4 linked regions of the Kluyveromyces lactis genome follow. The protein of the gene in region 3 interacts with the protein of the main gene of each other region in a biochemical or structural test. Links are inferred from orthologs where the notes say so. Each region holds a gene or a part of one and is shown on either strand. Other genes may lie near its edges. The genes, in order: LCD1, CDC45, DPB11 and RAD9.

Region 1 (8,271 bases), on a different chromosome or scaffold from region 3:
TCTTCAATTCGGTCTCCAGATGTTTTTCCATTTCGTAATCAGATGATAATATCTCACCTGCTTGATCTCTCATTGGGGAAGAGGAACGACCAACAGTAGAAGAGGGATGTGGAGTTGGATAATTTTTGACATTACCTTGCTTTAAGTCGTCTTTGTCCTTGAACAACTTCAAACTGGCAGATGAGACCACGGATTCAGTATCTTTCTCTGGGTGATAAAATGGATTTTCTAAATCATATTGATGTGAGCTCGCAATAGGAGATGAAGGAGGAAACTGCGAGTTCATGACCTCGTGTCTTTTCTTTCTTTGGTTTAATCTCTGTTAACGTTCAGGTGCTTCAGTTTTAACCCTTTAGAATCTGATATTAGATTTTCCAAGTAGCAGTATCTTTGTTGCCTTTCTATGACAGGACACTCCAAAAACAATACTACAGAATCGTTTTGTCTTAGATAGATGTTAATAAACGTAAAAGAACTTACTACAACCTAAAGTCTCTTCATTTCTCAACTGAATATGAACTTCATACTAACTTCAAACTACAAAATATGCGTCGCGTCGTTTCCTTGTATTTTGTCTATTTCGTAGTGGCCACTTTTCGCGTTATTCCCCAACTATCAGGACTGCTCATTTATTAAATCCGTACATCCAAGAATATTCTATACAGATAAACTAAAACTGGTGAGTTGAAAATGTATTTCCCTTTTTGGTAAATAGACGGCTCTCCGTATTTGAAATTTTCTTTTCCCTGCTTTTCGATATCGAAATTTTCCAAGGAAAGTTGTTTCAACCAAACTTTTAGAGATAATATACATTGTTCTATATCCAACTAAGGTCAATATGATAGAATAGTGCTATCATTATAGTGTTGGGTTTAGATTCAAGATAAGACAGAACCAGACATAATCAAACATGGGTAGTATGTGATAGAATACTATACATTTTGGAACATCCTTATTAAGAGCTTTGGAGTGTGATATGCATAAAGAACGAGTAAAATGGAGAAAACAATAACACAAGGAATAATTGAACCACCCGTGAGGCAGCACCAAATTAACGGAATGGACAGTCGAACTCTAATGGAATATAACGTTTGATGAGGTATATTTTGAAAAAGGCCAGAAAACGTTACGACATCGGCGAGTACGTTAGCGAATTATAATGTTCAATTTACACCTACTTATTAAACGGGAGAGAACAAGAATGAAAAAGATTTGAGAACAACGGTCGACTCATTGGAAGGATTTCTTCGGAAATATCAGGTTAGGTTTTATGTTACCTTCTATGAAATTTTTTGACAGATTCAACTAAGTAATAATGACCATCATATTACACTTCACCTACCTAGCTCATGTGGAGAGTTCGATTTACTCTAAGGAAACAGTTTTACTAACGATTTTTTTGCATTGTCAAATTTTTTAAACAGAGGGTACTCCATCTTTCGGTAAGCGCCACAACAAGTCTCACACTCTATGTAAGAGATGTGGCCGTAGTAGTTACCACATTCAAAAGCACACCTGTTCTTCTTGTGGTTACCCAGCTGCTAAGATGAGATCTCACAACTGGGCTGCCAAGGCTAAGAGAAGAAGAACCACTGGTACCGGTAGAATGAGATACTTGAAACACGTTTCTAGAAGATTCAAGAACGGTTTCCAATCTGGTGAAGCTAAGGCACAATCCGCTTAAACTTTGAGATTATCATGTTGTTGAAGACATATTTTTTATTATCTCATTACTTTGTATAAGCATTGTACTTCTAAATAAACCATCAATATAATCTTTTCAGAGTTCATTCCTATGAAATAATTGGAATATGCTAATATTTATCACTTTGATCAGTGTAAGTCGATGCACATGAACGCCAGTAACTGAGCTCTCTTCGCTTCCGTCTTTCTCAAGTTTCACTAACCATGGCTACATACAATGAATCCGCTTCATCCATAGTGGTTATGCTTTCGAGAATATATTTAGCCATGTCTCTCAATGGCCATGAGCTGTTGTTATTAAATTTTGAAACTGCAGATTCCCTTTTTATGTCCAATTCCTCGGAGTGCATGAATGCTGGTAAATTATCTTCATCATAAGCGTCATCAAAGTATTTCTTCTCTTCCTCTAACGCCAATGCTTTCAATGGATTTATTAGGGCAGCCCATTCTGTGGATAATTCATCTGTCGACTCAGGCCACCCATATACAATACGCCATAGACAGATTGTCAGTTCGTCTAGCCTTAAGGCACGTTTATACTCGTCACTTATCGACACCCAACAGAAGTATATCAATTTTAATAAAACTGATAACAATTCCTGTCTCTTAATATCACTGATATGGTCCCTATCCAAGAACACAGTAAGTAATAACTCTTGATGACTACTGAAAAGAGAAAAAGTCTTTTGTAGAAATTCCAACGAACATAGAGTGGATCGGTATCGATGAAGCAGTTTATGCATTATTAATGTAATATTAATTTGTATCTGAATTGACCAATACTCTAGGTTATCTAATGCTGTGAAAGTGAGAGGTTCAAACTCGTTCTCTATAATCATGGGTAAATATCGAACTTCTTCGAGACTTATAATATTATCTATCATTGAATGATTGGAGTTATCGCCACAGCACCTATTTAAACCCGCAAAGTTGAGTGACACAGAGTCAAAAGTAAGTGATCTCTCCCAATTTTGAATTAATTTTGAGAACAATACTGCCCATTTGCCTTTCCAAACGTTTTCAGCACCATCCAATTCAACTATACCGAGTAATATTTCCGTTACGTTGACGATGATTGGCATTATTGGCTTATATGAAATTGATAAAGTAAAATTGCAACATTTTATGAGGTTCTCTGCAATAGTAGCGTCATTCAATACTATTTCCTGTGCCCGCGTATTACAGTTTAGCAATATTACAATACATGTCTCTAGGACATCGAACGAATAAGTCATGCATAATTGATCAAGCATTGAATATTGAAACACGTCTGGAGAAACGTCTAAATCCAAAGGACTCTCATGCAATGGCTGTTTCAAAAATTTAGGATCAGAGATGATAAAATCTGTAATGAATTGAAATACATCCTTCAGTGAACTAACACTGGTCGCACTATGTCTAAAATTGATTGTACAATGCATCAAAGATATGAGGAAAGGGATGGCAAGTTTATTTTCCGGAAGTACACTTACTGATTTTATAGCAATAGCCAAGATCTCTAGTGTTTTATCAACTAGTTGATCGAGGGTGTAAATGGATTTCCATTTAAATATCAACGATCTAATAGGAGGGCCAAGAGGCAACCTGGCCTTAATTATTTTGTGTTCCGGGCTCAAAATAAGATCTGTCTTATAAGTACAAATGTGATCGAGCATTTCTAGAACTGTGTGCTCAGAACCAAGTAGTTTAAAATTCAGCAAATGATCATAGAAAAGGGAACCATCGTCTACTTTGAAATTCTGAGTCAATGTAACGTATTCTTTAACGGGTTCCATCCTTCTTCTTTTATTTTCAATTGGTGATGGTTCAGCAGTTTCAGTTTCGTGGGTAGTTTCAGACTTGCTGCTATTTCTGGGGGTAAATAAATGTTTCTGTTCCAGTAACATGAACTTTCGTTCATCTTCAAGTCGTTCCAATTCGATTTTAAGCTTCGTAACTTCCTCTTCATGAGAACTTTTCAGACTTGATTCCAGCTTTTTCTGATTATCATCATGTTCCCTTAGAGTCTTTTCGAGCATACTCAGCTTCTGCCTCAAGACTCCCACTTCTCCCTTCGCTTTCATTAACTGTTCAGCTTGTGATTCTGGCGGTTTAATAGGTACCGCCATCTGGCTCATCGGAGGTCTATTCACTAGTTCTAGGATATCATCGTCATCGTCATTATCATCCCATAAATCTGCCATATTGGCCTAGGTTGGTTTTTCTTGTTTTTGTTTGACGCGTTCATGGTAATGTTCTTGACATGAATTAACAGTTAAAGGTTAAATCAAATTCTGTGGTCTTAAGGTGTAAACAAATATGCAGATGATCTGCATTAGCTGAAAGAGAAAAAAAATACATAGTTTCTTGGTTTCACTGTTGTTGACCTTCATTCCCCATTAACGCTGATAACATGTCGCTATAATGCCCTTATACTCGCTGAATTAAAGTCCCGTAACTTCTATATCTCTTTCTGTACACTCTTTGAATGTATTACAATATTTATTAATGATATTTGACTTAATGCTGGCATAGAGTTGTAAAATATAAAAAAGATTATATTAACATATTGAAACAATCAATGTCATATTCACAATCATAATAAGAAAAGTTTCTTTCAGAAGGATATTGCTATGGTTAAAATTGTTAATCATTTAAATGAATGGTCTAGAAAGATCATTTATATTGACGCTACATAGAGTATTCTCTTTGCCCAGTAAATATGACATTTCAATGTTTAGTCATAAATTTACTGAAAATACTCAATCGAAAGATGGGACAAGACCCACACTCTCAGAGATGCAATTGATTTACATTCTACCATGTTACAACGAACGCATGTATCGAATGGCGATTTCATGCCTTGAAATCCCTTCCCTCTTGTCATTTGGAAGCTATGACATGCGGTGCACGGAATTTCTTTTTACTGTTTGAATTTTTTTTTTTCTATTAACCACTTCATGCTCATCGAATGGAATAGTTACAGAATAACTGGAAGAGACCATACTTTAACTACTTGCCGCATCGTTGTACCAGCTCCTGTGGTTTGTTATCGACTGAGGATAAGCTTTATTACGGTACATTTTAGTAATATAATAAGTACAAAAGAAATAATATCAAGATAATATGGTTGAAGATTCTAAGGTCAGAGATGCCATGAAAAATGGTGAGAAGAAAGTCTTGCCGGCATCATTGGTCCCTCAAGCTCCGCCAGTGCTAACATCGAAGGACAAAGTTACCAAGAGACTTATTGTGGTGCTATCCCAGGCTTCTTTAGAGACACATAAAATATCATCCAACGGTCCTGGTGGGGATAAATACGTCTTGTTGAATTGTGATGATCATCAAGGTTTGTTGAAGAAAATGGGAAGAGATATAAGCGAAGCTAGACCCGACATTACTCATCAATGTCTTCTAACCCTATTAGATTCTCCTGTAAATAAGGCTGGTAAACTTCAAGTTTATATTCAGACCAGTCGAGGCGTTCTTATCGAGTTAAACCCTACTGTACGAATTCCAAGAACTTTCAAACGTTTCTCAGGTTTAATGGTCCAATTATTGCATAAACTATCCATCAGATCAGTTAACTCTGAAGAAAAATTGTTGAAGGTCATTAAGAATCCAATTACCGACCACCTACCAACCAAATGTCGTAAAATCACCTTGTCCTTCGATGCACCTGTCATAAGAGTGCAAGACTACGTGGAAAAGTTGGATGATGATGAAAGTATATGTGTGTTTGTTGGTGCCATGGCCAGGGGTAAAGATAATTTTGCAGATGAATTTGTGGATGAAAAGATTGGTCTATCCAACTATCCATTATCTGCTTCGGTTGCATGCTCCAAGTTCTGTCATGGTTGTGAAGATGTGTGGAACATTATGTAAACATGGAAACTCGATTGTTCAAATCAGTATTATATCTCGATAAAATTAAGTAATATTATCAAATGCAGAGTTCGATAACAAAAGTCGCCATATTTTGTACATCAAGGGTAGCATTGGAGCTAGTTTATGGTGAAACACGATAGAAATTTTTCTCTGCTCTCTTTCTTATCTGCCTGTTTACGGTTAGAAGTGGCATCTCAGACGTTTTAACTTTTAAGATGTCTCAAACATGTTTCATGTAAAATAAAAAGCTTAGAACAAAGCACATATAAAAAGGAACAATACTTACAGGTGCCACCTGCTAGTAGTGAACTGCGGATAACATAATTAGAATGATAGTCTCAGTAACTCAAAAGAAAACAATGATGTACCATCGAAATGGGACATATTTACTTAAAACTTAATGAGCGTCTGTCACAGATATGGTGTAATAAATATACGATAATCATACTAGTCATGATGGTTAAGATACTATTGTTCATAAAAATGCTATCAAACGGGTTCGAAAATATAATGGATTATACCATGGAGAATTGCCGTAACATCGATTATTATTATTCCAAATATGTCAATTCTTCCCCACATTATATGGGTCTTATGGGAAACTTTCTAATTCAAAAATCTATGGAACAAAGTGTAGCATTATCGCTAAAAAGTATTTCACTGTTGGTATCTGTTTCTGAAAATGTCATAGATTTTATGATAGATCTTTGGTTGGGGACATGGGTATGCTTAATCGTCAGTGCAATTGATGGATCGGTTGATGTTGCAACGAATGCTACAGAATCTGTCATTGATTTAGTAAATGGAACAGTAAGTAGCGTCGCAGATGAGATTGATGATGGATTGAGCGGATTGACCAAAGTAGTTAATAAAGTTCTTTCGGCTGTCAATGATATTCAGAATTTCTTTAAAGGGAACGATGATGAATCAGACATTAATGATCAAGTAAAGAAAGTTAATTTAACAATAAATGGGCTGAGAACACTTTCTATTCCAAGTTCTATAGATGATAAGCTGGTGAAGCTGTCTGCTAATACACCTGATTTTGATACTGTTAAGAATAAAACTAAACAAGCAATTGCCGTTCCATTTGATATCATCAGGAATGAAATTAAATCAATTAACGCCAGTAAGCTAGTTGGAGACCCGCAGTACCTTGAAGTACCAGCAATTGATACTAGTGGTGTAAAAATATGTTCAGATAACAAGTCAGAAATAAATGAAGTCTTTGATACCATAAGAAAAGTGTTTAATGCTTCCACCATGACAATACTAATAGTTTTTATTCTTGCTGCTCTAAGTTTGATTGTGTATAACGCCTGGGCAGAGTGGAGGCAATGGATACGCCTTAAAAGATTCAGAGATCAATACAGGCATCAGACTATCATGCTTAAAAACCCATTTGATGACATGGCTGACGAAAAAGTCCCACAGAACGTCGATATATTAGAAACGTATCATCTGGTCTTCAATAGATATCAATCTGGATTTGGAAGATGGCTCAGCAGACGTATAAGTTCGAAGTTAGAAACACAACGAAATATCCAATGGTTGGTAACGTATTTGACATCTTCTACTTCGCTAACGTTATTAGCACTTGGGTTATGCGGTATTCTCATGTGTTGCGTACAATTTGCCATCATTGCGATCATTTCCAACAAGATAAACGGGAAGGAGACAGAAAAAATGATGACATCGATGTCCACAGCCATGAATGATACAGTACAACAGGGAATGACAGACTGGTCTAAATCTGCCAACCTCTACATTAACGACACGGAAACTCAAATTAATAGGCAAGTTTTTGGATGGATCCAAAATACGACAGACACAGTAAACGGTACAGTGACAGATTTAATTGAAGACATCGACAACGCAATTAGCAAAGCGTTCAATGGGACAATTTTGTACAAACCCATGGATACGGTAATGCAATGTGTCATCGGAAACAAACTGGAAGCCATATCTACAGCTCTAACATGGGTCCATAATACAGCTCAAGTGAACCTCCCCCGAGTCAACGGTTCTGAATTATACCAACAGCTTCAGCAAAACCTCACAGATTCAAACTCTACTACTTCCAGCACTGCAGAGTTACCCAATTCGACATCAATTGCAACCCAGCTCAAGGATAATCTCATCTCTGCAGCGAACAAGATTTTATCACAGTATAAGAATACTGTCGTCATAGAACTCATCGTGTCGTCTGTTTTTCTAGCACTTTACTTTTTTCAAATTCCGGTTGCCGGTATTATCCTGGCGGCACAGAAACACAAGTCAAAACATAATAATCAAAACCGTCCATAATACCGTCCAGGGTCCTACCCTCTATTTAGCATGTACAGAATATAATGGGCATACTACCAAACAAACTGCAGATTCTCTCCTCAGTCGCCTAGAAAAGAAAATATAAAATAGAAATAGATCAGAATTGGGGCAACATTACGTCAGGACCAAAAAAAAGTGGCTGTGAAAGAATTGCTACTCCTCCTGCATTGTCAATAGAATTTCCGACGTTTGAAGAGCTCTCTCACAGCAAACTGCCTATTGCTCATTTATTAAGGCCAATCTGCAGTGTCAATCATCCGGCTGTCGTCATCGTCCCATCAGTTCAAATCAGTTCAAATAGATTCGATGACAAACATGAAACATGCCGTGTGAGATGACTAAAAAAGTGCTACTCTGGCAATTTTGACTATT
Region 2 (8,158 bases), about 510 kb from region 3:
TGGGATCTGCTGATAAAGATCAATTAACTGGGTTCGATGAGGACCTAGCCATTGATGAAGATTCAAACGAAGAAAAAGCTGAACCTGAAAATGAGAATGATGAAGATCAGAAACACCCAACTGATGTGATGGACATCGATGAACCGGAAGTACAAAACGGTGATATTGATAATGAAGAGAATAACGGGAAAAGCAAGGGAGCTTTCATTGGTGAAAGAAATGCTCTTGAGAACTCTGGCGCTTTATGGGATCAAAACGACATTGTTTCTGACGAAAACGATATCGACCAAATCTTAAATGAAGTAGACAACGAAGTATCAGAAGAAAATTCTGTTGCTGTGGCCCCAAGACCATTCGACGAAGCCCGTGAACTATGGAAGAGAAGTGAACAAGAAACGAACGAGTTGGCAGCCGGTTTAAGTGAACAGCTACGTTTGATTCTTGAGCCTACTCTTGCCACAAAGTTGAAGGGTGATTACAAAACTGGTAAAAGGTTGAATATGAAGAGAATTATTCCATATATTGCTTCACAGTACCGTAAGGACAAGATTTGGTTAAGAAGAACAAAACCAAGTAAGCGTCAATATCAAATCATGATTGCAGTAGACGATTCCAAATCTATGAGCGAATCAAAATCTGTCAATTTGGCTTTCCAAAGTATCTGTTTAGTCTCTAAGGCTTTAACTCAACTTGAATCCGGTGGTTTATCTATCGTGAAATTCGGTGAAACTGTAAGAGAAGTTCACCCATTCAACCAACCTTTCAATACCCAAACTGGTGCTCAGACTTTCCAATGGTTTGATTTCCAAGAAACAAGAACCGATGTCAAGAAATTGGTAGCTGAAAGTATCAAGATCTTTGAAAGAGCAAGAGCTATGGAGAGTAACGACCTATGGCAATTGGAAATTATCATCTCCGATGGTGTTTGTGAAGACCACGAAACATTAGTAAGATTGGTTCGCAGAGCAAGGGAAAATAAAATCATGCTCGTTTTCGTTGTCATCGATGGTATTAACTCTAACGAATCAATCATGGATATGTCTCAAGTGAACTATATTCCAGATCAATTCGGCAACATGAAACTATCAGTCCAGAAATACCTAGACACATTCCCATTCGAATTCTACGTTGTCGTTCATGACATTACCGAACTCCCAGAAATGTTATCCATTATCTTAAGACAGTATTTCTCAGAGATGGCATCCATGTAGATGGACAACATCACGTCAAAAACCTAAAAAAAAGTATAAAACTGTACAATAGATCTTTAACTAGATACCGTAATAACAATATCAACAATAAATAAAAATATACCAATATTTCATGGTACTAAACTATTTAAAGCCCTAACCCAGACCCGGCTCAACACATAGAATCTCTGCCTCCTTAGAGCCCGAAATGTATAGAAATTGTCCGTTGTATGTGATACTGACATTTCACAAACGTGAAAATTTTCATTTTTCAGTATAAAAGGCCAAAAGCGATGAGCTTGGAAGAGAAAAGATATGTTTGATGCCACATATATAAGTATTCTGATCAACCAAAAAATAAACCAACTGTAGTTGATTCATACAGCCAGCATACTTACTGTTCATAGATTCCAGATGGAGTGAGCGGTAAGATATGTTACCTCTGTGGATATTTTTCTTTTTTGAAGGGCTTTTTCTTTATATATGATGATAAACCATTTTAGATGTCTCGAAGAATTTATTTCAATGTGAGCACACGATTTCTCAATAGACTACAACGGTATCTGATTTGTCCTTTCTCTACTCTAATTCGTACCCCTCTTAGTAAAATATGTAAACCTAATATCACTCCTTAACTCTGTACTGCTTATTCGAGTTTTTAGTTATTGAAACTTAATTCTTTTGAATTAGAGATCAGTTATAAAACCATATTTTGTCCAATGCTAATCTCTCTTGCATGTTTAGTAACTATATATGAAGACCGCGGGAGGCAAGTACTTACAATGTCGAAGCGATCTCATAGAAATCAGCTGCAATACAAACATGCGTTGCCTATAGAGGCGCAGCCTGTACCGTCTGTATGGAAACATCCCTTTCAGGCATTTTCCTGGATATTAGATTGGGCGATGAGATGGAGTGAAACCAGAATTATTGACGTCAAGATCAACCAATTAGGTCAAATTTTGGTATGTGATCAATGGCAGATGAAGTATTTATGGGAACACGGATTCTTTGGTACTGGTCAACTATCTCGGAGTGAACCCAACTGGCAGGCAAGAACAATGTCTCGATTGCAACTAAATGATGCTGATCGAATCAACTTAGAGCATGTTACAGACGTTAGAAGAAGGCAGCGGCTCGAATTCAAGAAACTGAGAGCTGAATTTGAAGCCAAGAAGTTAGAAATGAGACAAAAGGGGATTGTAGACGAACAATTCATTGAACAAGAAAGGTTATTCTTAAAGAATCAAAGAGATAAAGAATTAGCTTTTGAAAAGGACTCGATGCAAATACGTGACGAAGATTTAAGATTAATAGAAGGCAAATCAGTGATTCAACTAGAAAGCTTGCAATTGATGCCCGTCGAGGCTATTTTCCTCTCTTATGCAGTGCCGGTATTGAAGATCACATTGCAACAATTAATGGTTTCGTTGGTACTGGAACCGAAAAGTTTCCAAGACATCAAGAAATTAATTCATCAATATGTCGCGTACCATCATTACAGGTCCAAAGGGTGGTGTGTACGATCGGGGATAAAATTTGGTTGCGAATACTTATTATACAGAAGAGGACCCCCTTTCCAACATGCGGAGTATGGAATCATGGTTTTGGATGCAAACCAGTCAAATGATTACACTTGGTATTCAAGCGCTGCCAGAGTCGTGGGCGGAGCCAAGAAACAGTTTGTATTATGCTACGTTGAACAACTCATACCTGAAGATGACTTAATGGAACTTTGGAAGCAATCAAAGTACGATGAGCTTTTCAGAAACTTTAAAATCCATGAATTGTTATACAAAAGATGGGTTGCAGGTAAGAACAGAGATTAACTGTTCCGAACCGGTAACGATCTTTTCCGCGAAGAACTCAAACGAGTAAAAATAAACCCATGCTAGTTAATTGCATTAAATACAGTAATGGTCTGTATTATATGTCTCTATATATATTATCAGTTTATGTTTGTAATAGTATTATGGCCGATACAGAAAGAAAGATCTCTCATTCTAAATCTTGCCGTCATATACATCCAAGATCCATCCACAATCTCTGAATCCCTCAGTACGTTGAGCTGGTCCCATTACTGGATCATCATAAATCTCTACCAGTGTTGGATCATGTGTTGCTGGCTTTGAGATGCAAATTACCTGACCGTTGGGTAGATTGCATTTCAATTGTGAATTAGGGAACGGACACGCACAATCCGACTTCTGTCTCACACAATCCAATGTCTGTGGACATAAATAATGCGGACAGTCATTATCTAGGAACATTTGCTGGTAAGAGCCAACATCCCGCTGTTGCTGCTGTTGCTGCTGTTGCTGTCTATTCTGGTGACCTGAATCGAAAAAGAATCCAGACACAGCTTGTAAAAAGAATGCTGAACCAATTATTGTTCCCAGTAGTTTCATAGTAAGTTAAGATCTTCGTATTTCGTAATACTGCAATATGAAATATCAGATAGCAGTGTTTAGTACCTATAGTCTTGTAAATCTTGGCATCTCTTCGAATATTTCGAATATTTCGCATGTATGCCATTTATGACAAGTAATCGATTTTCCAAAAATCTTTAAACGTGTAAGTATTCCAAACCAATATTTTAAAGAAATTTATGTAAATACATGAGATGACTAGCTCACGAGGGAAAAGAGACTGCAAACAAAACCACTGCAGGCCATCAAAGTGCCAGGTAGAGGATGTATATTGGCATTGCTGAATTTGTGGGTGCTTATGATAAAATTCTTCACCGATGCAGTTCTCATTCTTCATGTCAGTTGGTGATTTTTGTTTCGTGTTTAAACATTGACGCGTTATGTGCATCGAAGATGCTATCCAGTCTATTCAAGAAGCAATTGGTACAATCACAGTTAGTTCCCGTGTTTGGTTATTCGGAATTGAAGGATCACTATCAGAGACTGGACGAAAATATCAATAGCGTTATATTTGTAGGTTGTGGAGGGATGGTAGATCTTGAATCTTTTTTAGAGATTGATCCACAAGAAAACACGCAGGGTCCATTAGATGAGATTCAATTAGATAAGACTGACGTTGTTCAGAAATTTAAGAAGGAGATATTTGTGCTTGATTGTCATAGACCGTGGAATTTGGATAATTTATTTGGTTCACAGTGCATAACCTGTTTCGATGATGGAACAGTCGAAGAGTCTTTGACAGAGCAAAAGAAAGCATACTACAAACTTATAGAGATAGAGAACGAACTTGGCGATGAATTGGACGATGACAGTGATAGCGAGGAAGAGGAAGATGACAGGGAAACGCAAAATGAGGATAAAGACGACGATGACGATGACGATGACGATGACGATGACGTAGTATTGGGTAAAAGGTCCAGCGATGAATTGAATCCAAAAAAATCACATAAACAACGAAAGCGAGAGTTTCACAACTTAGAAAAAGTGTTACAGGAGTACTATTCACAGGGATCAACGGTGCTGAACTCCCTTTCAGTTCAGATATATTCTCTTTTGTCTGGTATTGGTGAGACAAATCTAGATTATTTATGGTTATGCATTCTAGGAGTGTCCTCTTTGGATAATTCCTTCCCGTTGGTATACAATCGACTATTACCACTTCTGAAAGATGAAGTAAAAAGATTGACACCTAGTGAAAAAACTAAAACGCCAGATTCTTTGAATCTTGAGATTCGTCCCGATTACAGTTTATTCCTTCTGAGGCATACATCCTTATATGATAGTTTTTATTATTCTAACTACGTCAACGCCAAACTGTCACTGTGGAATGAAAATGGCAAGAAAAGACTGCATAAAATGTTTGCACGCATGGGTATTCCGCTGAGTGTTACACAGGAAAACTGGATATATATGGACAATAATTTCAAGAGAGATCTGGGCGTACTTTTCGATAAAAATCTCGATAGATACGGGTTACAAGATATTGTACGAGATGGGTTCTTGAGAACTTTCGGTTACCGAGGATCAATAAGTGCCAGTGAATTTGTCGAATCGATAACCGCTTTACTTGAAGTTGGCAATGCTTCAAACGCACTAGAAAATTTGACAACAGCTAATGTATCTCAAAAAGATGATACGAACCAAGGTGATGAAGAGAATAGGGAGTACGAAGAAGCTGAAGAGCAAAAAATTAACAGAATACTGAAGACAAGGCAAAAAAAATGGATTGCAAATTTTTGGTCAAGTTGGGATGTATTGGACAATAATATGGATATTTTATCTCAGGGGATTAAGCATGCAACATTTTTACAAAGAAGTGTATTTGAAACTGGAGTCGCTATTCTGGAGAAAAGATTAGTGAAACATTTAAGGATTTACAGGCTATGTGTTTTACAAGATGGACCAGATTTGCATTTATATAGAAATCCATTAACGTTATTGAGGCTGGGATCATGGCTCATTGAATACTATGCAGAAAATGACGAAAAACAGTTACTTCCACTGGTATTGGCAACTTTAGATGAGACTTCTGACACATATCTTTGTGCAGGGATTGCGCCAAGGTACCCAAGAGGGTTGGACATTTTACAACAACAACAGCAGAAAACTTTAAATAATTTCACAGTGGCATTTCAACAAATAGCAGCTGAGACAGGTGCCAAAGTAAGGATTGACAATTTCGAGACATCAATTATTGAAATCAGGAAAGACGATCTACAACCATTCCTTGAACGTTTGACATTAAGCGGATTGATTTAGCACGAAGACACAAACATATTAATTTAGGCATATCATGAGGTGAGCTTTCGGCTTTAAATCTAATATATATATATATATTATGTAACAATCTAATCAGATACCTCGAAATTGACACTACTATGGGATGTCCAAGCTGTTTGAAATCTGTTAGGTTTACCATTGATATCACGTGATCATTAAACCAATGCCACAAATGTCAGTCAAAGGTAAGCATTCTAAAATACCCACAATAATTTGTCATAATTATAGGCAAAATGTTGCCAAGAACCAGCCTTCAACCCCTCAACTGTAGCTGTTCAGGCTCTTAAGTTAATACATGGAGCACAACATAGATCTTCCGCGTCTGCCACCCTGGAAAAGCCCGCAGTTCCGCAGGATCAAACATGTCAAACACTCAACAGATGAGGATTTCAACGTTGGGATGGGCACATCGGCAAATGTATTCAGCGACTCTTCGCTCTACACTCCGTTGAATTACAAGAATGAACGCAATAGAAACAGGGATATGAATGGGAAACAAAGGGCACCAGGGATATCTGAAAACACTCTCAGTTTCAAATACGATCCGTCACCTTTCATACTCCATGATAATATACTAAACAAGACAAAAGTGGATCAATTGCAACAACAAGAGGTTGCCATGAGAAGACTTTTTGATAAAGATAGAGCAATACCTGAATCCAGGCTCAATGTACCGTATTACCAAACGCTATGGAGAGAACAGCTAGATTTAATGGATGATGACATGCCAGAAACAAGTCCGAAATTCGATTACTCGAACTCATCTCAAGATCTATACAAACAGCTCCGGCAGTTCCAAACAGCATTTGTCCAAAATGAGGCGTGGAAGTACGAGGAAAACACTGAATAGCTGGCTAGTAGTATTAACTCCTGTGACTATTTCATCCCTCACAGCTCACAAGATTATTCCACAGTGCGGAATATCCCAATATATCTAATGCAAATAGACTGCGACAAGCATAAATAGCATACGCAAATGGATAGACGGACGATGAAACCCGTGTAAAGCACCGTATGATCAGACTGCTGAACCAGGAGGCTTGTACTGGCTTTAATTCCCTTCAATTATCATAACATACGAACATCACATACTCTCTCCTTTTCCATTTCCAATCGAAAAGCCCTTTAAAGAATAAAGTTTAACATGGTGGAATATAAAACATAAACCTTGAAAGCCGTATTCCACGCCCGAAACAAGAAAGGAAGCCCTCGTCTTTCCTTCTGCCTATACGGTTTACAACTTGCAGTATTAGTGCAATTGATTGGAATCACAGCAATATAAACTGATCAATAATGAATATTATTAGATTACAAAGAAAGTTCCCTGAGTTTTCTCAGGAAGATCTCTTCGAAACGATAGAGCATTTTCGAAACATCGATCTAGAGGATAAGGGCTGGGTTGAAAAACCTCAAATTTTGGAATCCATTTCCAAGTCTGGTGTTGCATCTTATGATGAAGCTAGGGAGACTTTGAAGACCGTTGATGTAGATGCTTCGGGTCATGTTGAATTGGAGGATTACGTGGAATTGATGGCAAAATTAAGAGCAAACGGTTCATCTCAAGGTACGCAACAGGACGAAGACAATTCAAAGGGGTTCCCACAAACGAGCTTTCCTAACATTTCCGGTCAGAGCAACCGTGCACCACCGGTTCCAACTAAACCTAAATCGATTGGTTTGCAACACAAAGGTACTGGTGAGAAAGCTCAGATTATTGTCGGTGGTTCCACTTCTGGTACCACCCACACGATTAATGAAGAAGAAAGAAGGGCTTTCACTACACATATCAATTCCGTGCTAGCTGGGGACGCAGACATTGGTCATAGGCTTCCTTTCCCTACCGATACTTTCCAATTATTCGACGAATGTAGAGATGGGTTGGTGTTGTCCAAGTTGATTAACGATTCTGTCCCGGACACCATCGATACCAGAGTGTTAAACTGGCCTAAGAATAACAAGGCTTTGAACACTTTCACGGCTTCCGAAAACGCCAACATTGTGATCAATTCCGCTAAAGCTATCGGCTGTGTTGTGGTTAATGTTCACTCTGAAGATATTATTGAAGGTAAAGAACATTTGATCTTAGGTTTAATTTGGCAAATTATTAGGAGAGGTTTGCTATCCAAGATTGATATCAAATTACACCCGGAATTGTACCGTTTATTAGAAGAAGATGAAACTTTGGAGCAATTCCTAAGACTACCCCCAGAACAAATCTTGTTGCGTTGGTTCAACTACCATTTGAAACAAGCTGGGTGG
Region 3 (8,148 bases):
GGACGCTCTTGCAGATGGATGGTGACCCATGCTTCGCCTCTTGGGCAATATTATCAATTCGTTGTAGTCACTTTCGTTATCTTCTTCGTAGCCTTCGTCATCAATTATGTTATCATTGGCATCGTCATATATCTTGAATAAATTAGTTGTGTCGTTAACGGTATCAGGTACCATCCCCATTGGTTTGAAATTCGAAATGGTTGGTGAAATATCTGACATGCCGATGGAGAGTTGGTAGTGAGAGATTAACCTTGAGAAAATGTCGTTATCATCCATCCAAATGGTGACCCATCGTTTCAACAACTTCTTGTATTTGTACCAGTTGAACGTTTCCTTTGGTTCATTCAATAAGTTCAACAAACAGTTCTCTATCAATTGTTTATTGTTCAAAGGCATAAACTGAACAGTCTTCAAGATTCTCGAATTTATTGGTTTCACGTTTGAATTATCGGATAGGATTAACCAATAAAGTGATATGATTTCATAAGATAGTTCCACGGAATTCGGTTGTTGTAAATATCGGCATACGAGGTATACCAAAGTGATACCGATTTCAAGTAAGTCGTTGTTTTCCAATTGAATTTGTTTGAAATCATGGTCTTGTAAATGGTGATAAAGTTTCCATTGGTAAATTAATTTGTAACCGAAGGATTCTATCAACAGCTGATATTTATTGTTAGTCTCATTAGCTAATAATTGAAGGTGACAACCATCCAATTGCAATATGAAATCATAAATGAGTTGGAACATCTTCAAATGAGGTGGGAACTCTGAAATGGTTGGTGGATGGAATTCATCGATTAAGAAATTAGTCTTAGGTAATCCGTTGATGAAACACCACCAGATCTGGAACACTTGGAATTGATAAAACGTGAGAAGCCTAATAACCTTTGACGTTGAGTTTTCATGTCCAACAAGATTGTTGTAATTCAAGAACAAAGCTGAATTGATGATCATATACTGGTTGAAATTAATCAAATCGTTAGTCCAAATGACAGAGTATGGGTTCTCCTGGGACATGAAATACCGTATTCCGAAATTCATCAGTTGAATCGATGATAATTTGTCCTGCGACAAGGAACCCAAAAGTTTAACCGCCTGGAAAATCGTCTCGTTATTGAAACAATTCAACTCGAACTGTACTATAAGTATTAGTACAATGGACACCGCAGGGTCAGAGACAGTCGAAGTCCCGGTTAGTACCGAGATCATTCGTTGGTGCCATGACGTCCCCAAGAGATATGGGAAGATTTGGTTCGAGTTCAAGTACTTATCAATTAATCGTATTACATCCTCAGCAGATAAGGGGATATTAATCGGTACACCGCTCGGTGAAAGTGGGAAATGTCGGTTAAGGTACGATAGAACCGGGTCCTGTACGATAGACCTTGTATACTGGAAAGACTTCAACTGAGATTTATTATGGTTGACGATCGAATTCCAGGTGAAATTACCTAGATACACTTGGTCATGGATATAGTTTGGGAATTTATGGAAAGTATCATTGATAAAGGGTAGGAACGTGGACGCAGGGGCCTGGGCCGGTACTGGCGCTGCCGATGCCGCTGGAGGAACCGAAACAGAAGACTTTGTTCCCATTTCCCCCACAGAGTTAAGGAATTCCTGGCCAGCAGGAATAACACCCGTCTGTGCAGTAGCTGCCACGGCAGCTACTGCACCATCAATCACGGTCTCACCGTTCTCGTCCACCATCCCACAAAGCCGCTGCAACTTAATCACCTCGTTCTCCAACATCTCCGTGTAACCCCTAGGGAACCCGCGTCTTGTAAGCTTATCACTAGTCGAACAATGGTACCCTATCTTCTTACAATTGGAACAACTAGGCTTGATACCGTCACATTTAATCTTCTTAAGCCTACATCTATCACATGCCTGTGAAAACCGTTTCACTTTTGTTGATGCCGTAGGCATCAACAATTTCTTCTCATTGTGTTTGTCGACTTTCCCATATTTACGCTTCTTACCTGACTGACTGCTACTGTCATCACTGCTATTACCAGTAGACATCTTACCAGCAAGCACGCCCTTTACATCATCCTGCGAAACACTTGGCATAGTGATATATACATATACTTGGCGCTACTACAGGAAGCTTATAGCAAGCTTACGTTCCAAACAGAAAAAAAAACATCTGATACCTACCATAAACCTTCCGGTTCATGGTTATATGGCAGAACGTTTCCCCAGGTCCGTTTGTCTTATATATCTGATTCAGAATCATGAATAATAATAATAATATTTGGCTATAAAAACCCTCGAGAAATCTAATTCAAGAAACTAAGGCAAGAAGAAACTACCTTTTAACAAGCCAAGAGAATAAACCAATGAGATAACCGAGATAGCTGGGACGTTTGAAGAATTTCCCTTAATTGATGGATCCCAGAAACTGACATTTGTGACATTTCCACAAGTGACGTTGGACATATTATTCAGTATTCGGTATGCTATAGACTATATAAGAGGGCTAATTAATATGCGTTAGTAGTGTGTAATTCCAGTTTTGCAATTGTCCCTTTCAGCCGGATCTGGGGAAAGGAAGTTTTGGGGACAAAAAAAGCGGTTCTAGGCGCGGTTTTCCGTGTAGTCAGCAAAAAAATTTGTGCAGTTATATCGGTTTATCGTAGGGAGAGTAAGGACCTGAAAGGATTTGTCCGGATGAAAGGCTAACGGGGAGAAGTCACAAGTCCGAATGGTGTATGGGTGGCGATGTTTGCCTGCTTCTTGCAATTTCACATGTGACAGATATATGAGTCAGCTGGACGGTTGCTGACAAGGATGATGACTCGACGGGGGGGGCGCCGGAAGGGGGAGATTCGCTGTAGTCACGTGGTTAGTGTTTAATTTTTGGTTTTGGTTTTCGTTTTCTCAGGGTAACCCTGGGTAGCTTGTGTTTTTCGTCCACGTGACCTGTAAACAAATGTCATTTTACAACTCTTCTCTGTTTATTATTTTCCACACATAAACGCGTATTTACACAGATATCCAATCCATCCTTCCTTCCTTCACATATGAATGGTGATGATGTGTCTAAAAAGCTGGAACAAAGGTGTAGATAGCTTCTTCTTCTTCTTCTTCTTCTTCCTCAATTCTCCCTGAAGTAGAGCAAACATGTCCGGCAAACCATTTCAAGGACTGGTGTTCTGTCCTACGTCTCTCCCGTTGTCGGTTTCTGATACCATCTCACATAAAGTGACAAAACTCGGTGGGACTTATACCAAGGATTTGACAAGACTAGTCAACGTATTGGTTGTTGGAGAGTTATTCACCGCAAAGTATAACTTTGCTGTCAAGAATAGAACTGATATCGTGTTTGTTAGTCCGGGATCCGTTGATCAGTTGTACGATGCGTGGCTCGCAGGAGAAGATCTGTTGCAGTTGGCTAAATTCGATATGTCCCAGTACTTAAAATCGAAGTACTCTATCGGGTCGTTTGAAAAATTTAACTTGTTCATTGGCAGAATACGACCTAATAACCATTATTCTCTTGAGTCGTTGGTTCAGTTGTGTAAATTGGGTAAAGTGAAATCGGTAGATACCACGCATTTCATTAGGAACTCTTCGTCATCCAATGCATGCATTTCGTTGTTTATTACCGATGATTTATCGGGGAACCGTGTCCAGGCTGCTTTAGAAGAGAACGTTCCCGTAGTGCATCCAAAATGGATCATTGATTGTATGGACAGATCAGGGACTCTAGACTTTCAATCTTTCTACCTGTTGAAAAATTGTCATGAACTTGAATACTCTGACATTGGTTCTGGTTCGTACATTCGTGACGTTCCAGATAAGAAAAAATCTGTAACTGAACCAAATCCCATGGGTGTACAAGATGATTCGGTGAATCCGTTGAAGATTGCTATAGATAAATTTAAGCCTCAAGCGAATCAGATATGGGGGAAACTATTGGCAAGAGATGGTGATGCTTCAGCGTCAAAGTCCACTGATATTAAGGAAGCCACCCCAACGCATCAAGAATGCCTTGGTGAGACAAAGGATACACCGACCTTCCTGGACTGTCACTTCGTGCTATTCAAGTTCGAAAAAAGACAGGTTACTATCTTATCTAATGTCATTCGCGGTAATAAAGGAACGTCTTCCCTCTTCGAGGATACATCACCGTCACCGGCACAGCTGAAGGATAAGACCATTTATTATATCTGTCCAAGTGGATTTCCGGCAAATCTACTGCCGAGAATCCCAAATGAATCATCGTGGTTGACAGAATTCTTCATCGAACGATGTTTGTATTACGAACAACTCCTACCTCCGGATTTTTGGTCAAAACCTTTCTACAACGATTTCAATATCATTCCACCTAAATCGGTGTTACATGGCCCTAAACTTTCCTTCCATATCACAGGGTTCCATGGCGTGGAATTACTACACATCAATAAAATTATAGACTTTTTGAAGTTGATTGGTTTTGACCATCATGAGAAATTGACGAAGAAGACGGATTTCTTACTCGTTAACATCTCCCAATTGACTTCAATACCACAGGAACATACTTTAAGGCAAAATAAGTACGCGTCAATGTTCAGGACAGATTTGGATATGAAGATCTCTGTAAATCAAGCTCAAATGTTTAGAAATTCAATGAAACGGAAAATTGAATTCGTTAAGCAAGCTCATCATATTCCCATCCTAACTCCAAGTTTTGTCATTGAACTCTTCCAAAGAGCAATGAAACCTAATAAGACTTCCATGAACATCTACTTTAATGACGTTAATTGGTGTATTTCTTGTCCCAAGGGTTCTAAATCTGACTTTGCACTACAAATAATTCCAAAGGAAAGAGGAAACGAGGATCCTTTGCTAGAGAAACCCGCTCCTGTTGATATTGCGGCACCTCTGTCAACTGCCTCTTCTGCATCAGCAGAACTACCTCATGTTCCAAATAGAGGGAACCGTTGGGGGAAACTTCTTTCAAATAATGTAGATACAGAGAATGAGGAATCAAGCTTTATCCAAACTGTAGGTCATGATAGTGACCATCTTTCGCATACTCAGATCACGTACGGATCAGCATCAACGTCGACATCTGTGCAGCAGAATTTGAAAAGAAGGAAGATTTCTACCAGAAGCCAAGCTAAAGACATCATTTCTCATGTTTCATAAATCTCATGTATTATTACGTCACGCCATATATATGTATGTATATATGTATACATATCCATTCGGATATTATCTGTAACAAGATCATTAACATTCTTATTCTGCTTAGAAGTGCCTCTAACTCCTAAATGTGTGTCATTTTTACGTGTCTGAACCTATATTCCAGATTTACTCTTCTGTGCATGCTTCCTTTAAAAGTGAAAATATTGACAAGTGTCATTCTACCTGTTTATTAAGCTCTAGATCAATGAAGGTTCAATAAAGGAAGTAAGTACAAGAAACGTATACAGGCTCGGGGATATCAGACCATGGATGCTTCTGGTGTAATTGATGAATTGAAACACCGGAAGGAAGCTTTCGTTACCGGACACTCCGGAAGTTCAATTGCAGATTTACGAGATGTCACATTAGCCGGTATTTTTTCTAACGCCGCTTGGATCTACGTCGTTTCGAACAATCCCAGCTACCGGGACTCCTTCTGGTTAGATTTCTTATTGAATTGGATGGGTCTCCTCTGTAGTGTTACTGTATTTGGGGAAAACCCATTTCTTACAGGTATATTAGGTTTAAGTGCGGTGCTATTATTTGGATGTATATCTAAGGGAAGTAAACGCGAAACGATTAAAGAAACTGTAATGGACAATGGCAACCAGTCAGCAACCCTCACAGTGTATAGGAGTACAATGCTGATCTTAACTTCCATTGCCATATTGGCTGTAGATTTCCCTATCTTTCCTAGGAAATATGCCAAGGTAGAAACCTGGGGCATTTCATTGATGGATCTAGGTGTTGGATCGTTTGTATTCAGCAATGGTATTATAAGTTACAAAAGATTAAAATCTGGAACTGAATTATCCAAATGGGCTAAAATTAAACAATCATTAAGGTCGACGGTGGTACTAGTGGTATTGGGTTTCATTCGTTTGTTTTCCGTTAAGGCTGTAAACTATCAAGAACATGCAACCGAATATGGTATCCATTGGAACTTCTTCTTTACCCTTTCATTACTACCCCTTGCAATGATTATTTTCGATTTCTACAACATGAGATTGAGATTTGTTATAGGTTTGATTGCAGCCATTATCTACGAGCTTTGCCTGATATACCATCCAACCTTTCTGGACTATTTGTTAAATGCAGAACGAATAGATTTTATTTCTGCGAATAGAGAAGGAATCTTTTCGTTTGTTGGTTATTGTATCATCTACCTAGCTGGCCAGCAAGTTGGTAGTATGTTCTTCCCAATCTCCAGAAATCCAATGCAACTGCTGTGGAAATTGGTAGCTCTAAGCATCTTCAGTTCTGCCATATCGTATGTTCTTCTACACTATCATCCATTACAGGTATCTCGGAGATTTGCCTCAATTGGGTACTCCTCTATGGTTATTTCATTCAATCTGTTAATCTTAACCTTCGATCAACTGATAGTCGAATGCTTAACGAGCAAACCTAGAGTGCCTAAGACGTATCGAGCTGTAAACGGTAACGGCATGCTGGTATTTCTTATATCAAATGTCACAACAGGGATGGTTAACTTCACTTTCAACACATTGGATTCACCACCTTATAAGGCGATGGCGATACTGACAGTGTATGCTTTGTTCCTCGCCGTATTCGCTCTAAAAGTTCCGTTTAAGCTTAAATTTTAAGAAACTCTGTATTGACCTCTGTGTAGGTAATTAAATCGCAGATCATCATCAAAGACATTAGATAAATATACATTTAAAACACTTTTACTTTGAAATGTAGGCATTTGCAGTAGTACTCGTTTTGAGTTTCACTCGTTTCGCGTTGTTCCTGACAGGAGTGTACGCTGGAGCAAAAGATTTGCTTTGACTTACTGCCACTTTGGTTGAGTGGTTAGTTCTTTTATCTGAAGATATAGAGTGCGACAAGTCTTGAGCGGAGGAGCTTTCCAATCTGATTTTCTTTGATTGCATGCTTTGGCTATTTTTGACAGGCTTCTTGCACAGCATATCCAGGGTGATCCTCCTCTTTTTCTCGCAGATTTTCCCTCCAGCAGGTTTTGGACATTCTTTAGATGAGGTTGTGAGGACTTTGGTAACATTTGCAGTCCCAGAATTGTAGCTGTTTTTACCTGGCGAGAATGATGCGTTCAAAAAGGAACTTGCAGGTTTGAAACTATTGGTTCCTGTGGAAAAACTTGAGGGAGCAGTATTGTTATTGAAATCGATTAAAGCAGGTGTTTGAACATTTGTACCATTCCATATAAAAGTGCTGGTTTTGCAATTTTTGGACTTTTGGTAGTCTTGGCAGAGGGACTTCAATGAAAACTTTGAGGAGGTTTCTTCCAATGTCCGATTCATGCAACGGTAAAACCTTAAAATTGATTGTGGGTTATTGAACAAGACATTATTCGAATAGAGTTGTTCACAGTTCTTTAAGAAGATGCTTTTTTTGCCTGAAGAAGACAAATACAAAAGATCCTTCGCTCTGGTTAGAGCAACAAAGAAGATCCTTCTTTCTTCGTTCAAGGTAGTCTCTAAATCATCTATGAGGTCTGATTCCTTGCCTCGTAGCTCTTCTTTAATATTGTCGAATTCACCTGAGCCCATCGAACAGTTATTAAGATCATTGCATGCTTCACCATCCCGACGTAATTCTGCCAAATCTTCTAGCCTTTGGCGAGCTGACTGCTCTGTAAAAGGAATCAATCCCTCGTTTATGGAAGGGATGAATACAACTGGCCACTCCAAACCCTTGGCAGCATGAATGGTAGATACTGTTACTCGTTCTTGCAGATGATTTGCTAATTTGTCTAAAGAATTTTCGGTGTTCTCTTCTTCAGATGAATATAATGAAATGGATTTGGTAAAGAAAGTAATAACTTCAAAGAAATTGAGGTCATTAGAGTTAAAATTCTCCTTTATCAGAGCTAAATCATTGGGATCAGCAGCATTTTCCTGAATCATTATATGTTCGTCGTTTTGATCTAGTTCGTACTCCGTAAACAGTTCATATACCTTAAACATATTTTGATGTTCGGTTTGA
Region 4 (8,373 bases), about 120 kb from region 3:
CTTTCGAATAGAATCATGTCTGAAAGAAGCATAAAAAGACCTTCAGAGCCACCCGCCGAACAAGCTACGAAGAAACCGAGATTTTGAAAATTAATATAAACTATGTAGTATCATCACGACTCCATTGACGGACAAACTCATTCATACCTTTTTTCCCTCGATTTTGTATGCACTATTTTATGACACAAAATCGTCGCTTCTTTTATTTCACTGTCGAAGAATGTTGTCAGATAAAAGATAAAAAAGGGTTCGAAGAAAGAACCACATCATTGCATCATACTATTTGCGCACGGAAAAGATACGAAGGTTCACGAACGGTGGCAAAGTGAACAGTGTTTCCCATCAGCTATAATGTTTGGCAAAAAGAAATCTAATTATCAGATGCTTAGTGCAGAAGAAATTCGTCGCAGGAAAAATGCCAAAAGAGGCATACAGTTCTGCATGTTGGTGATAGGAGAATCAGGTTTAGGCAAGTCCACTTTTTGCAATAATATCTGCAACCAAGAGGTTTTTGGACACGAAGAAGAGGGTTTTGATCCTGCCACCGCACATTTGAGCCCAGGCATTGATATTGTGTCCAAGAATTTCCATTTACAAGAGGAAAATTCTACACCAATAAGCCTCGACATTGTTCTAATTCCAGGTTTGGGGGATAATATCAACAATTCTAATAACCATGAAGTCGTTGTTGATTATTTGGAATCCCAGTTCGATCGCGTGTTGAATGAGGAAATAAGAATCAAGAGAAACCCAAAAAATGTTGACACTAGACCACATGTTTGCCTATTCTTCATTAGAGCAACGTCAAAAGGCCTTCGTGAGCTAGATATAAAATTGATGAAGGCGTTATGTGACAAGGTCAATATCATCCCAGTCATCAGCAAAGCTGATTTATTAACCGAAAGGGAAATAGCATTAAATAAACGTCTCATCATGGAAGATATTTATGAAAATGATATCAATATCTACGATTTTGTAGATGATAAACTAGAAGATACTTTGATGCTTGTCGAGGCTAATGATTCTAGTCCAATTCCTAATAACACTTCTTTTGACAGTATGCAGCAAAATAGTTATGGTGAAGGAACAGCCCAATTGAATACAGCTTGCTGTAGAATCAGGGATATGTTACCATTTTCGATAATTGGTAGTAATGAAGTTGAAGTCTCACCAAATGGAGAACTGTTTCACGTGAGAAGGTACTCCTGGGGAACTGTAAAAGTGGAAAATAGGGCTCATTGTGATTTCATTTATTTGAAGAACATTCTATTAGGATCTCATCTTCAAGATTTGAAAGATACAACGCACAATAAGCTATATGAAAATTACAGAACGCAAAAGCTTTTAGCTGGCAACAACTATCCGTCAAATAATGATGAAAGAGATATTCTTGCAGAAAGTACTGTTCTAGAGCATCAACTTAATCATAAATCAAAAGAGATCAATGAGGAAATACGTGGCTACAGTTCTAAACGTCTTGATGAATTGAATAGTAATTTTGTAAAAGAAACTATTTCAACTTAATCGATTCGATTTATTAACACTGCTTCCCACTAATATATAGATAGAAGACTTGGTGTTACATATATAACAAAAATTATATAAAAGTGTACTTTTGCTTTATCTTTCATTGAGCTGTCGCCAAAATTCTATGAAGTTATTGGTACCATTTTCGCCCATTTCAACATTATCACGTTCATAATCAGACCCACGAACTTTTCGTTTCAACTTCTCTGCTTCTTTCGAATAAGTATGTCGGTTTGATAAGACGGGATCGAATTCAGAGTCGACTATTACTTCATTGGTAGACAACCGGATTAGGACACTTGGTAAAAGCTTGAGATGTTGATGATTCTGTGCAACTGACTCAATTATATTCACAAAGGTACCAGAAAGCGAAAAATTAGCATAATCAGTGACAAAGTGCTGTTCATTTATGGATTTTGCACACTGGTAGAACTCACCATAGAAGTAGTTGAAAGTAGCTAAGTCAACTTTATTCACAAAAAATAAACCCATCAATATTTTGTGGAAACATACAAGCCTTTTAGGGTCATCGAATGGGAAATGAACTGCAGCTAGCATGTAATGACGGATCATATAAGTGGAAAAAACTGTTTGCGGTATTATCACAGTAGTCTTAACATCATGTGCGTGCTCATAGTCTAATACTTTCCCATCGAGTAGCGCAATAAATTCATAGATTTCTGCACATATCTTGAAATACTCCGCAGTCATATGCTTATTCTGGATGTCCTGTTGTGCAGATATTACACTGCTTGAATTTTCCAATATTGTGTATAATATGCCTTTGAACATGTCCAAACGATTCACCCTAACCGAATTGAAGGACACGTATTTTACCCTTTTCCCTTGATTAAAATCTAAATTCAAACATTTTGCCAGATAAAGTGAAGTTTGTCGAATTATCCATGTTATCCGAGACGAGGAAAGGTCTGATCGCTTCTCACTGTGACGCTTATTTTTAGAGACTGAAATGAACTGTAGAATCCAGCGGAAAGAGAAAAAAGCGGTCCCATATTCTTCATCTAGAAGCTCGAAGAATGCTTGAATAATTCTGAAGTTGATGATAATGTTTGTCTTCCATCTAAGAACAAAATGATCATCTGCATATCTAGCACATAGATTATCCGACATATAATTTGCATCCACTGTAAAATCAATATCGGGATTGTGATCAAGAATACCCTGCATTATAGAAATGATACGCTGTTTGCTAATATTACCATTTTGGAATCGTTCTTTCACAAGATTTAAGGGAATGAACGAGAGTATGATATCCACAAAGTCGTCCCATACTTCCGTTGAATCTTTGATTAGTTGCTTGGCTTCAAGCGTCTTGAGACATTTTTCCAATAACGACTCAAAACAAAGTAGAACATCAACATATGAACCTAATAGTAGATGACATTAGAGTTAGTATTTACCATTCAATCGTTATCATTGTTAGCTTTCATTTAATAATGTCACTTACCATTACATTTCGAATTTTTGTCGGTCATGATATCACAGTTATTGTTGCCGACTAAAGGGTGCTAATCACGAGAAGCAAAATTATGCTTGCTTAAGGCGAGGATCATAAAAGCTACACCTCTTGTGTTGGTATATATCGTTTGTGCCAACAACCAAAAAATGCATTCTAAAAGGTTCACTTCATGTGTGTCTGACACCCATCGATAGAAAATATCATACTTTTCCTTAGAAGAACCGAAAATCAATTCCTAGAATAGCAAACCTGCAACCAGTGCTATACTAGCAACTCATATACTAATACCCTGAAGAGATGCGACCGGCTATGGATACATAATAATAAAACTCACACATCGCACAGTTGACTCTTTAATGTCTTAGTCTTTAACAACTACAAATGTAATATTGACAGAAAATCATAAACCAAAACAAGAAAGTTTACAGTATGTAACGCACAACTAACAAAAGTTATTAAACATTCGATAAAAATACGGAGCCAAAATATCACTTCATTCTGAACCATCAATATCAGTATCTGCTGTTTCATATGGTATGACAGGAGACGAAGAAGACAGTGGTATTACCAAAGAGACTCCCAATTACAGTCCAGATCGAAAACAGCTATCGAACAAGATAGAGTCTACTTCCTCAGATGAAATAGTGTTAAAAGAAAATACAAGCACCCGAACGCTCACGGGAATTAACAAGGCTATAAAGGCTTTGGGTAATACTGCTCTCAATTTAAATCCAACGAATAAATCCCTGTTAGAAGACACACCTGAGGGAAATCGAGATCTCGAGATTAGACGAAGAATTGATATCCAATCAAAGACTGATGTATTGCAACGATTTCAGGAGAAAGACTTGAATATCGAAGTGGAATTACCGTTTGATTTGACTCAAACTAAAGGTATTCTTTTGAATAACAATGACACATATCAACCTGAATTATTAGACACGCCATTAAAGAATAAGATATCGATTCGCTCACTTAGGAATGCTAAAGGTGAAGTGAAGGCAGCTTCAGAACCGATCAGCTTGATTGAAAATATCAACTCGTCCCCAGAGGGGCATCCACAACCATTTATAATGACACTGAAGGATGCAGATAATGGTAATATCTTGGGTGATATTGACACTCAAAATGTAACTCAAACATCTAATGAAATGTTAGTACCTGCAACGAATTCAGCTAATGTAAGTCAAACACAAGAAATCAGGTCTACATTGGCCGATGAAAAGATGACTCAGCTAATTAGAACTCAGTCTAATAACCTCGATGTCTCAGAGAGCTTATTGAAACTAGATGAACAGTCTGCACTTCAAGAGACATCAATAGTGCATACATCTCCAATCAATTTTGGCTCATTTCATCACAGTCTTCTTCCTTCTACCAGAACTATATTGACACAAAAGGAAACAGGTTCTAATTTCAACGAAGAAATCCAGTTGGTTCATTCTCCAGCGGTCGTTAATCTCCGACCCATGCAGCAGGCCTCCAATAAATCACCTTCAACAGTATTTAGTGAAGAAGAAAGAGAAGAAGAAAAAGAAGATCAGGAAGTAGCCAAATGTCACTCGTCTATTGAGATGAACAATGAATCTTCTCAGAAGGAACAAACAGATGAAAACTCGAGTGAAATGAAGTTTAAACTCACATATTATGTCAAACCATCCAGTCAGATATCCGACGAGGATGAACAAATTGGGGGTGTCCGGAATGATGCTACCGATTTGAACCAACGTAAACACAATGAACATAATCCTACGAATGATGTCTCAAGAGAGCTCTCGAGACTGGATACAGATCAGGAATATGAACAAACTCAGGAACTACCTGAAATTTTCGAACGCAATGAGTGCAAGCACAAACCGTCATTTGAGTCACAAGAACAACTTAATGTATCCAAGAAACGGAAAAACAAGCAGCTAATATTAGAAGAAGAATTTGAAGATAGTAGTACACCAAGTAAAATGACACAATTTACAGCTTTCACTGAAGGTGTCTACCTGCCGAAAGAACTTCGTATATCAGATGAAATGCAGTTGACTAAAAAAGATGTTTTATTCAATAATGCGGTCTGGTATTATTTTAATGATTGCAATTTTTATCCTGGTAAGATACTTTCCGAACAGCGTACGAAGCCTGGGTATTGCTCCGTTCTTTTCGAGAAACGTCAAAATGATGTTAGGGTGGAAGACATTTACTATTTAGATATTAGATGTGGAGATAAAGTCCACTGGAAGATGAATGAATATCAAGTCGTAGCTTTAGATTGCCAGATCCCACAAAAAGAAGATGTCATTCGATGCATTAGAGGATATGATACGGTGCATTTAAGAAAGGTACTGAGAAACGGAAGACTCAGCAAGAATGATATTGTAGATACCATTGCATCCATATACGTTACCACCGGGGAGTGGATCAAACGAACCAAAATAAAACTGGAAGATGAAGACAATGATCCTTTGGATGAATTGAGACGTTCTGTTAGAAGTCGATCAGTGAGGGATTCTATTTCTCCTATGAAGAAAACCGCTCAAGATTATAACAAGTCAACTTCAGAGATTTTCAGAGACACTTTCTATGATACTACTATAATGAGTGGATTAGAAGGACAGGGAGGTTCTGTTTTCGAAAAGTGCATCTTTGTATTGAGTGGACTTAATGATATGGATAGAAAAAGGTTATCTTATCTAATCGAGATACAAGGAGGATATGTCTCCAGCGTAGGGTTTGAAAGTCTGTTAAGATATGAAGACAGATCAAGAGAGTTTAGTTGGAACAATCCACGTTTTAACAGTTACCGTTTTGGTTGTCTTATTGCGGGAAACTTTTCAAGAAGTCCGAAGTATTTAGAAGCATTGGCTTTGGGATGGCCTGTACTACATTGGAGGTTTATTGAGTCATGCATAAACAAAGGTTATATCTCGACTCAAACGATACTACAAAATCTTTTGCCGAGCGGAGAAAGTAACAGGTTGATGGCTGACTTCAATCTAGGTATTATCAAATCAAGCAATGTTTTTAGTTTCCTGACAAACTTCAATAGCAGTTTGACTTTAGATGCACAACTAAACAATGCCAGAGTAGTTTTGGAAGATTACTCGATATTGATTTTAGGAGACTCCGATATGAATTTTTTCGTGGACTTCATTTTCCAGGTGTTTAAAGTTGGTCATTGGGAATACACGAAAAACTTGAAGTTGAAACCACAGCAAGAGTTGGACGATGATCTGTTCGACCAACTTGTAGAATTTCGGCATAATTACCACAGTAAGAAGATGATACTTTTCATCAACGAGACGTCTTTGCAGAACTCATCCGACTGGGAAAATAGCATTTCTAAAAGGTTCCTGATGGAGGGTATAAATGATTTTAGGATCAAAAATAAGGAATGGCTGGTTCAGACCGTAATTAATGAAGAGGCGTAATAAAAGTGTATCACAGTAAGAGTACAATAATTGACCCGACTGATAGAAAGTAGAATAAATAAGAGTTACATTATATTCTCGGGATTAACAAATACTGTTCAATTATTTATAAATAGTATACTATAGGAATTTTTTTTGGTCATTTCGTGAGATCTCATACATCAAAAAGCTGTTTAATTAAATATTACGGTAGTCATAGGGAATTCGGATTGAAGTAGTAATCTCCAGGAGGAGTGTTTGAGTTTGGCAAATTCAGCATGTTAACAAAAGAATGAGTGTGATCGTTGACAGGATTATTGTTGCTTCCAAAGAGATGGGTTCCTTCATTGAAAATAATATTCGTAATTTTGCGTTGATTGTCTAATTTTGACTGAAGAGTGTTAATTATGTCAATGAAATTTGTCAATAATGAACCATGTACATGTGATTCATATATCAAGAGGAAAGAGCATTTGGCAACCTGTAACAATTTGTCTGATAGATGATAACGGTCATAAAATCCCTGTCTTGTTCTAGCACCATTCTGTTTACATAGATCGTGGTGCCTTAGTAAGTTTATTGATGACTTGCTGGGTCCTGGAGCTGGTTCAGCGTAGCCTGAATCAAATTCGAATTCATTCAACGAATTGACAGGACCAACTGGCATTTTCAAATAGTTATAGTCATTGAATGATTGTACTAAAACTGATTCGATGCTCTTTTCCAAATGTTCAAGACTGAACGTATGGACAGCTGGAGCCTGTGGAGAAGGTCCATCATATGCCGTCTTTAAGTCAGTGAATTTTGAAAACTCCAGAGGGTAATTATGGACAAGTTTCGGAATCATTAACTGCTCTACCAGTTTCCGTAACTCCGCAAATATACTCAACACCTTGAAATTTGGAGTGGCTTCAAAGTCTAATATGAATTTTAAAATGCAAAGGAAATTGAAGAAATAACCCTGAATTTGGAACAACGAGGTTTTTGAGTAATCAAACTTAATTTCTTCATAATATCCCGTCTCATTGGTGTAGTAAAATAACGATGCAATATTTTTGATAGAAGCATTAACTGAGACCAACAAATCAATTACCAAAGAATCAGAATTTTTGGACAAAATATTGGCATGAATGGGTGACAAACAATTCTCGAAAATATCGTCAGTTAATCCGTATTTGGATATTATTCTGAAAAAATGGGAGTCCAATTTATCAAACAATCTCAAAGAAATCAAAGAGTTCTTTAAATTGATGGAGTCACCAATTAAGCAGTCCGATGTAGCAGAATCCTGATCGATTTGGGGTAAATTCTTCTCTAGTTTCTTAGTATCGATTTTGTTGATGAACACATTCATGTTTGACCCAGATAATTTTATTGAGTACTCATAGAAAAGCATTGAATTTACTAAAACTTGTGGAATAGTATGATAACCTAGATCATTAAACTGGAAACTTTGGAAAAAGTGTAAGAAATTCAAATGGTAAAGATGCTCGGACTTTATGGTAGTACTATTCCAGTTGAATGATAAAGTTGACCACCTCGTTTCATTATTAGGAATCATTATCGTCTGTAATTCAAAATTCGTGATGAAGCTCGACGAGGATAATCTATGGAAAATCTGTAAAAACTGACACAAGTTGTAATTTGTCAAAGTTGTTCTTAATTTTGATTCCCATATTATTATCTCAGCTTCCGACCTTAAATTTTCTGGTTTCTGCTGAACCAACGGTAAAAAGTAATTCCTTAACAAAGAACAAACTGCTCCAACTTGTTTCAATATTTGATCTGATCTGTTGATATCGGAGTTACTATGTTCAGCAAAGATGGAATACATTACTGACAATGTCAAAGACTGGATCAACCATAAATTCGAATTGAGTGGTGACGTTGTTTCATCCCGTTTCAAATTTTTTCTTCTATCCAAGTAAACGTGTAGTACTCTCCTTGCAATTTCATACAATTCCCTTG

Evidence for each region.
Region 1: the proteins of DPB11 (region 3) and LCD1 form a complex in vitro, tested with the Saccharomyces cerevisiae proteins (2 studies listed by BioGRID). The link is inferred for Kluyveromyces lactis from reciprocal best matches to the Saccharomyces cerevisiae genes DPB11 and LCD1.
Region 2: the proteins of DPB11 (region 3) and CDC45 form a complex in vitro, tested with the Saccharomyces cerevisiae proteins (2 studies listed by BioGRID). The link is inferred for Kluyveromyces lactis from reciprocal best matches to the Saccharomyces cerevisiae genes DPB11 and CDC45.
Region 4: the proteins of DPB11 (region 3) and RAD9 form a complex in vitro, tested with the Saccharomyces cerevisiae proteins (3 studies listed by BioGRID, with this or other methods). The link is inferred for Kluyveromyces lactis from reciprocal best matches to the Saccharomyces cerevisiae genes DPB11 and RAD9.

What each region holds. Positions count from the first base shown.
Region 1 is NC_006039.1:148,025-156,295, forward strand, and holds LCD1 (Lcd1p), read right to left. Parts: upstream 3,888-8,271; coding exon 1,893-3,887; downstream 1-1,892. Other genes in the region: TOS4 (Tos4p), read right to left, coding at 1-286; RPL37A (60S ribosomal protein eL37), read left to right, coding at 911-917, 1,425-1,684; EMG1 (18S rRNA pseudouridine methyltransferase), read left to right, coding at 4,810-5,568; pheromone-regulated protein PRM1, read left to right, coding at 5,947-7,878. UniProt on the Saccharomyces cerevisiae protein: Forms a complex with the serine/threonine kinase MEC1 which activates checkpoint signaling upon genotoxic stresses.
Region 2 is NC_006042.1:1,832,735-1,840,892, reverse strand, and holds CDC45 (DNA replication initiation factor CDC45), read left to right. Parts: upstream 1-3,883; coding exon 3,884-5,878; downstream 5,879-8,158. Other genes in the region: REA1 (AAA family ATPase midasin), read left to right, coding at 1-1,211; tRNA splicing endonuclease subunit SEN2, read left to right, coding at 1,910-3,019; LCL2 (Lcl2p), read right to left, coding at 3,194-3,598; KLLA0_F19800g (uncharacterized protein), read left to right, coding at 6,195-6,749; SAC6 (fimbrin), read left to right, coding at 7,193-8,158. UniProt on the Saccharomyces cerevisiae protein: Required for initiation of chromosomal DNA replication. Acts at the origin of replication. Also has a role in minichromosome maintenance.
Region 3 is NC_006042.1:1,322,853-1,331,000, reverse strand, and holds DPB11 (protein kinase activating protein DPB11), read left to right. Parts: upstream 1-3,129; coding exon 3,130-5,139; downstream 5,140-8,148. Other genes in the region: SIP4 (Sip4p), read right to left, coding at 1-2,076; GWT1 (glucosaminyl-phosphotidylinositol O-acyltransferase), read left to right, coding at 5,445-6,785; KLLA0_F14256g (ATP-dependent helicase), read right to left, coding at 6,870-8,148. UniProt on the Saccharomyces cerevisiae protein: Has a role in the initiation of DNA replication. Required at S-phase checkpoint. Required for the association of PSF1 with origins. Also required for the proper activation of RAD53 in response to DNA damage and replication blocks.
Region 4 is NC_006042.1:1,203,739-1,212,111, reverse strand, and holds RAD9 (chromatin-binding protein RAD9), read left to right. Parts: upstream 1-3,543; coding exon 3,544-6,426; downstream 6,427-8,373. Other genes in the region: BUR2 (Bur2p), read left to right, coding at 1-87; septin SPR28, read left to right, coding at 352-1,524; ADY4 (Ady4p), read right to left, coding at 1,621-2,715; DNA-binding transcription factor ADR1, read right to left, coding at 6,620-8,373. UniProt on the Saccharomyces cerevisiae protein: Essential for cell cycle arrest at the G2 stage following DNA damage by X-irradiation or inactivation of DNA ligase.